Macaca mulatta: one gene and its partner. The protein of the gene in region 1 interacts with the protein of each later gene in a biochemical or structural test. Links are inferred from orthologs where the notes say so. Each region holds a gene or a part of one and is shown in the gene's direction. Other genes may lie near its edges.

Region 1 (3,485 bases):
GAGACCCAGAGCTGTCCCATGGACGGGTGGGAATCTTCTGCAGACACAGCCTCTTAGCAGGAGCACTTCCGGGCTTTCTCAGGTTGGGGGCTGTCATCCCCTGGCCAACCTGGCTCTGTGTCCTCAGCCCCAAAGAGGGGCCCCGCTGAGCTGGAGAGCTCCACGTTCGGGCTAAGTACTGGGCCCGTGGGTCGCCTGACTGTGCCTTGACTTGCGGACTTCCAGGTGGTGAAGGAGATGGACAATGAGAAGAGGATCCGGCTGCTGCAGTTTGTCACTGGGACCTGCCGCCTGCCCATCGGCGGATTTGCTGAACTCATCGGTACATTTTCTCTCGCCCTCTGGTGTCCTGGCTGGCAGTGAGGACAGCTCAGAGGGAGGGGGGAACCTAGTCTTTTCCTGGAAGCACGTCAGTGGGATGGAGAAGAGCTGAGGCCTCTGTGTCCTGGGGCTGAGCCCATCTGTGGGTGGAGCCGGAGGGTCCTGCTTTGGGAAGGCACGTCTCTGTTGACATGGGTGTGTTTTACCTTGGATCACAGGTAGCAATGGACCACAGAAGTTTTGCATTGACAAAGTTGGCAAGGAAACCTGGCTGCCCAGAAGCCACACCTGGTGAGCCTTCTAGTTTTAGTGGGACGTCGGGGGGCCTCAGACCCGATGAGCTCCTGGGACAGCCCAGTGGGTGTAGCAGCTTCTTAGCCTCGAGTCTGACAGCTTTTGCGTGGCCCTGGGGTGTTGGGTTGGAGAGATGGGGCTGTGATGGGCATCTTATCTGCCGGGTTTTACATATGAAGCGCTTCTGTTCCAGTAGTCCAAGAGCTACTGCCCTAAGTGTCCCCCCAACCAATTTCCAGCTGTCCTGGCCCCTCCCTTAACACCCCATGGTCCAGGTACCTGCAGTGTAAAGGCCTGACTGGCAGCCCCTGAGCCCTAGCCAGTGTGGCGCAAGCCCTGTGGCCCTGCTGCAGGCAGGCAGGGCGGGGCTGTCAGGGCCCTGGCCTCCTGGGGCTGACTGTCGTGCTTTCCCCGCTCTCGATAGCTTCAACCGTCTGGATCTTCCTCCCTACAAGAGCTACGAACAGCTGAGAGAGAAGCTGCTGTATGCCATTGAGGAGACCGAGGGCTTTGGACAGGAGTAACTGAGGCCGCCCCCCCACACCCCCCAGTGCACACATAGTCCTGAGTCCTCCCTGCCTGGGAGGCCACCGGCCCTGCAGCCCTTGGGAGGCCCCCGTGGATGTGGCCCTGTGTGGGACGACACCATCATCTCGCTTCTGGCAGAAGAGCCTGATCCCAGGAGGCCCTGCAGTTCCCCCCACCCATGGATGGCAGTCTGGAATAAAGCCCCCTAGTTGCCTTTGGCCCCACCTTCGCAAAGTTCCAGAGGGGTGACCCTCTCTGCAAAACTCTCCCCCATCCCCTAGACCCCACCCTGGGTGTGTGTGTGTGCAAGGGAAGGTGTTGCATCCCCAGGGGCTGCTGCAGAGGCCGAAGACCTCCCGGACTAGTTTGGCCAGGAGACCGGCTCCTGGGGTGGGCTGGGCTGTTCTGGACTGAGAGCCAAGGGTCTTTGCCAGCAAAGGAGGTTCTGCCTGATGATCGAGACGAAGTGAAGGTCTGAGGGCGACGGCCCTGGGGCGAGGCCATCTCCGCCTGCCTCCCTAGCAGGCAGCAGCAATGGAGGCTGAGTCGCAGGACGCATGCTGGTCAGTTAATTCATTCTCAGCAAATGAAGGTTTGTCTAAGCTGCCTGGGTATCCATGGGACAGAAACAGCAGACTCCCTCAGACTTTCTTTTTCCATTTATAAACTTGAAGCGGTTGTGTTGTAGGGTTGCAGTTTTTTTTGTTATGCTGCTGTCACTTTCTGTCCAGGAGTTGGCACCCCAGGCGTTCTGAGACCTTGAGGGACCCAGGCCTTTGGGTCCACGAGTTTCCCAAACAGCCACGCGTCTCAGGAACCTGCCTGGTGGTTCCGTGAGCTCAGGCGGGCCTGACCCAGCGGCGCAGCCTGGCAGGGACCTCGTCCCCGAGCCTGGCAGAGTGGGAGGGGTTGAGGTCCCGAGCGCCACTCCTAGCCTTGCCGCCTTCAATAGAGAAGAAATCCCTTTGCTAGATAGGGTCCCCCAGGCAGTCCCCAGTGGCGGGACACAGGGATCCGGCTGTGGAGCTCTCCCGTCAGCCCTTGGAGTTCCAGGTGGGCCTGCTGGTCCCCTGTTCAGAATGGAGTGCGGCCCGGCCAGCGGAAAGTGTCCATTCTGCGTAGGTGCTTTATCTGCACACAGGACGTGGAAACCAGCAGAAAGGCCCTGACCTGCTGCATAGCCCGGTCTGATTTCTGCAGTTCCCACCAGCCTCCAACCCGGGGACTCTGCCATAATTGGAATCTTCACAGGTCACATTGAAATCTTCAAGATGACCATGCCCCCCCAGGATGCTGGGGCAGTAATCATGGCAGACTCCCTGCCCGGGCCCCCAGGATTCTAGGACCCCAGGCAGCCCCTTGGCCTGGTCCCGGGTACCTTCCAAGCACAGTCTCCATGCTCCCAGATTCTCGACCTTTCCCTGGCCGGGGAGGTGCAGCCTGCGTCTGCCTGTGTCATGTGTGCTGATTTGAGTGGCTCAGCTTGCCACAGCGCAACCTCTTCTGTCCCTTTCAGTCATTTGCCGTACTTCCCTGCGGCACGCCACCACGGAAGCCGCTCCAGGGTGGGTCAGGGCGTAAGCTGCTGGTGAGGTTTGGAAGCATCAGGCTCACGGGTGTTCGTGTGTGTTCGTGCGTGTGTGTGCGTACGTGTATATAACTGAAGTGTCTGTACGGAATGCCCTTTGCTAGCCATGGGCTGGTCACCAGACTATTTTGTAATACCCGCCCCCTGCCTCGATATTGCCAGTTTCTTGTGCAATAAACAATCAGCAGCTGTGGGTGGTGTTGGTGTGGATGTTTACAAACCTGTGGTCCTCTAGTCAAGAGGACTCTGGTCCTCACAGACCCTCCAGGCCTGGATAGGGGTGGAAATTCCCTGACCTCGCTGGTTTTGAGAAGCCTGTGTGTCATGGACCGAGGCAGCCCCCAACTTCTGGGCTGGGCAGCTGAGTCCTGGCCCAAGGATCACCAGCTTCAGCCCCTGATCGGCCACCTCACTGCACCCTTTCGGGACCTCTGCGTCCCCCTGCCAGACCCGGGGGGGTCTCCAAGCAGTTGCTGTGGGGTGCAGAACAATAACAGCTGCAGGTTGGGGCTTCCGAAACTGGCTTGCAGGGAGAGTGTTCTAGGCAGTCATTCATTCAGGAAATACTCAGGTTTCGCAAGTTCCACGACGGTCGATGGTCGAGGGACTCTGTGATCTTGACCTCAGGGTCACGTAAAGGCTTGCCACCCACTGTTTTTGGTTTTGACAGATCACCATGCTGATGGGTCCTGAAGCATTTGACAAGGAAGTGACTTTGTCATGGATCAAGCAGGGCCCCGACCGTGCCTCCAAT
Region 2 (3,746 bases), on another chromosome or scaffold:
ACTTCTTTTATTGCCAGAAATGCAAGGAACTGAGGCCAGAGGCCCGGCGGTTAGGGGGGCCTCCCAAATCTGGAGAGCCCTGACGGCACCAACTTTAGCCTGGAACTTCCAAATGATAACATGATTTGGGAACTGAGCCTCAGGGTCCTCAGCCTACCCCCTGGAGCTTGGATACTGTCCGCACTTCAAGGCAGGAATTCCCAAGGGAGACTTGTTTGAAAATGAGTGTCTCACTTTCCTACCCTATCCGTCCTCCCCACTCTGAACTTGAAATTGAACCCATTACGGTTGCGGGTGGGAGGCTGTCTGTGTCTCTAGACACATAATCTCTGTCTCTTGGACCTGCCACCATCACTTTCTGGGTCAGGATTGGAATTGGGATGGAATGGGACAGTTGTCTATAAAACTCTAGTGTAAATATTAGCACTCCCCTCCCTCATCTTTTCTTCTATTTCACTCCCCATTTATTTTCTTCTACACCGGTTGTATTTTTAATTTTGGACTTCCCCTACTGGGCATGGCAGCTCAAAGGTGGAGTACTAGAGCCTGGCCAAGCAAGGAAGGAAAGCAGAAAGGTGACGATTCTCACTCACCTCTTTTTAATAATATTGGCCGCTGTTTGTACAGACAGCCTGCGTGTTGTGAATAAAGCAGAGTGGGCTCTTTTGTGTTTATAGCCCTCACTGTCCTGCTTGGGAGGGAGGCTTTGGTGGCTGAAGACTAGCTGGACGTGGTGCTGAAAGCCACCTCTCACAGTCCAGTCTGAAGATGGCACAGCACTGGGCCTCTCCCACCCCAAGATACTTGAGTAAGCCACCTCAGAGCTTTCATTGTATTTGGCCCTCCCCACTCGAGTCTAGGAACCCCCACAATCCCCACCTTCACTCCCTGCACGCACACTCCTGAGGGTCAGAGTTGCTTCGCGCTCCCGCCGGTGTGGGGTAAAGCCGGGTGGGAGCCGACTGTCCGCTTCCTGAGGGCACAGGCCAGCTTATCCTGGGTGCTCGGAGGACCTCGGCTGGGGTACACCTTTGGGGGCTGGGAGACCGTTGCCGAAGGCAGCGATCACGTGGCGGGGGCACTAGGAGGAGTCACGCGGTCACGTGACTGGGAGGGGTCACGTGACGGGGGCGGCTGAAGAGCGCGGGGTGGGCGGGCTTAGGTCACGTGACATGAGGAGAGGTGGGCGGGGACCTGGAGGACGCTCGCGTTGTCGGTGGCGGTGGCGCGCGGCGGCCGCTGAGACCGCGGCTTTGAGTCGCACCTCGCGGCCCGCCCCCCGCCGCCACCCTTGCCGACCCCTGCTTTTTTCCCTTTGCTTCTCTCCAGTACTGGGTCCGTCCTGTCCGCGCTCGCTCGTCGGTTTGCGGGTGTGCGCAGGCGCGGCAGGGGCCATTAGCCCCTTGGGTGGGCGGTGGAGCCCGGGAGCGCGCGGGCGAGACCATGGCGGGCAGCAGCGCTGGGGGCGGTGGGGTTGGGGAGACGAAGGTGATTTACCACCTGGATGAGGAAGAGACTCCATACCTGGTGAAGATCCCTGTCCCCGCCGAGCGCATCACCCTCGGCGATTTCAAGAGCGTCCTGCAGCGGCCCGCGGGCGCCAAGTACTTTTTCAAGTCTATGGATCAGGATTTCGGGTGAGCGCAAGGCCTAGATAGGACCGACGGGGGCTTTGCTAGAGTGGATTGGGCGACGTGGAGGGGCACACATCTACTTCGGGCCACACTAGGATTTTCTGGCCTGTGGTGGAGCAGATTGTACCATGCTGAGGTAGGTTGACTCTCCCAGGATGGACAAGGTTATGCTTGGATAGATTGAGGCACACGGGCAGACTAGGATATCCTAAACCAGATTAGAGACGATTAGGCTCTACTGGAATAGGTGGGGGCATACTGGTTTATTTTGGAGTGTTTTAGACTGTACTGAGTAAATTCATTTATCGTCTGGTCGTTTAGTACGTTCTCAGGAGTCCTGTAACGCCTGTAATCTCAGCACTTTGGGAGGCCGAGGCGGGCGGATCACGAAGTCAGGAAATCGAGACTATCCTGGCTAACACGGTGAAACCCCATCTGTACTAACTAAAAATACAAAAAAATTAGCCGGGCGTGGTGGCGGGCGCCTGTAGTCCCAGCTACTTGGGAGGCTGAAGCAGGGAGAATCGCTTGAACCTGGGAGGCGGAGGTTGCAGTGAGCCGAGATCGCGCCACTGCACTCCAGCCTGGACGACAGTGCAAGACTCCATCTCCAAAAAAAAAAAAACACCAAAAAACAAAACAAAACAAACTTGGGCCATTATGGACTCTACTGGGCTGTATTGGTTAATCCTGGTTTATCTTGGGGCAAGACATGGTTTTATTGGAGCACTCAGTATGGGGGCAGACAAGGCTGTTGGTGCCCATGCTAGTACAGGTAGCTGTATTGGGGTATTCTAGTCTATATTGGTGCAGACAGCTAGCTGCGTGTGGGGACATTGTAGGCTGTGCTAGAATAGATTGGGCTATCCTAGGGTAATTTGGACATTCAGGGCTATCTTGGACTAGATTGGCATGTAAATAATGCAGAGAAAGCCCTTTTGTGTTTATGGTCTTTGGGGCTGAGCCCTCTCTGGGTCCTCAACCTCTGCTTTTTTTTTTTTTTTTTTTTTTAAAGACAGAGTCTGCTCTGTCGCCCAGGCTGGAGTGCAGTGGCTGATTCTCGGTTCACTGCAAGCTCCGCCTCCCGGGTTCACGCCATTCTCCTGCCTCAGCCTCCCCACTAGCTGGGACTACAGGCACCCACCACCACACCTGGCTAATTTTTTGTATTTTTTTAGTAGAGACGGAGTTTCACCGTGTTAGCCAGGATGGTCTCGATCTACTGACCTCATGATCGGACCGCCTCGGCCTCCCAAAGTGATGGGATTACAGGCGTGAGCCACTGCGCCCAGCCCAACCTCTGCTTTTTTGAAGGCAGGCTGGATTAAGTTGAGATAGCATGGGTTTTAGAAGAACTGAACAAACTGGACTCTAGCTAGAAAGATTGTTTGACATGGGAAGGGTGATACTATCTTGGGAGTTATCTTGGCTTTAAGTCAAGGTTCTTCTAGTTGTCAGCAGTGCAATCTTGGACAATTAATTTAAATTTTGTGTCTTGATCTCGTCTGTGACATGGAGAAAATCACAGAATGAAATGGTTAGTTCAGGTGTGTGGTACATGGTAAATTCATGGTGAATGGTAATTGTCATTAGTATTGAGGCTGACTACTCTATAAAGGTTATGGTGATACACAGTAATTTGTCTTAAGAGTGGACTGAGCTATGCTGAGATTGTGTTATGTTGGGAAGAATCCTACATGATGCTGACACAGATTGGTAGTGACTGGGCTGTGTTGTCACATTGACAGCAAATGGATTAAGTTGATATATATCCTGGCTCTTATGACCATATTAGGCTAACGGGTTAATTAGACAAGGTGTCCTAATTTGGCGGCAAGGGTGTGTGTGGAAAGAGAGAGAGAAACAACCAGGGCAGAGAGTCTGATGCTTTATATGTTTATTCATTTAGTTGACAGTATTTGTTAATGCCTAAGTGTCAGTGTGTGGTGTGTGGCCAGGACATGGTGTTGATCAGAGTAAGTGTTCATGGTTTGATGTCGTGGTCAAGAAGAAGGGGCAAGTCCAGTCCACCACAGGGAACCCATTGGAGAGATGACCCCAAGGCTGGGCTTTGGGATCTGTCAGGCTGAGCAGATTGCTTCGTGCCGAATT

Evidence for each region. The genes of interacting proteins can lie anywhere in the genome.
Region 2: the proteins of WWP2 (region 1) and DVL2 form a complex in vitro, tested with the Homo sapiens proteins (2 studies listed by BioGRID, with this or other methods). The link is inferred for Macaca mulatta from reciprocal best matches to the Homo sapiens genes WWP2 and DVL2.

The regions. Positions count from the first base shown.
Region 1 is NC_133425.1:65,564,695-65,568,179, forward strand, and holds the end of WWP2 (NEDD4-like E3 ubiquitin-protein ligase WWP2), read left to right. Parts: intron 1-225; coding exon 226-322; intron 323-539; coding exon 540-612; coding exon of another isoform or gene 613-616; exon of another isoform or gene 617-645; intron 646-968; exon of another isoform or gene 969-1,039; coding exon 1,040-1,139; 3' UTR 1,140-2,920; downstream 2,921-3,485. UniProt on the Homo sapiens protein: E3 ubiquitin-protein ligase which accepts ubiquitin from an E2 ubiquitin-conjugating enzyme in the form of a thioester and then directly transfers the ubiquitin to targeted substrates.
Region 2 is NC_133421.1:8,718,397-8,722,142, reverse strand, and holds the start of DVL2 (segment polarity protein dishevelled homolog DVL-2), read left to right. Parts: upstream 1-1,158; 5' UTR 1,159-1,443; coding exon 1,444-1,637; intron 1,638-3,746. Other genes in the region: PHF23 (PHD finger protein 23), read left to right, coding at 1-83.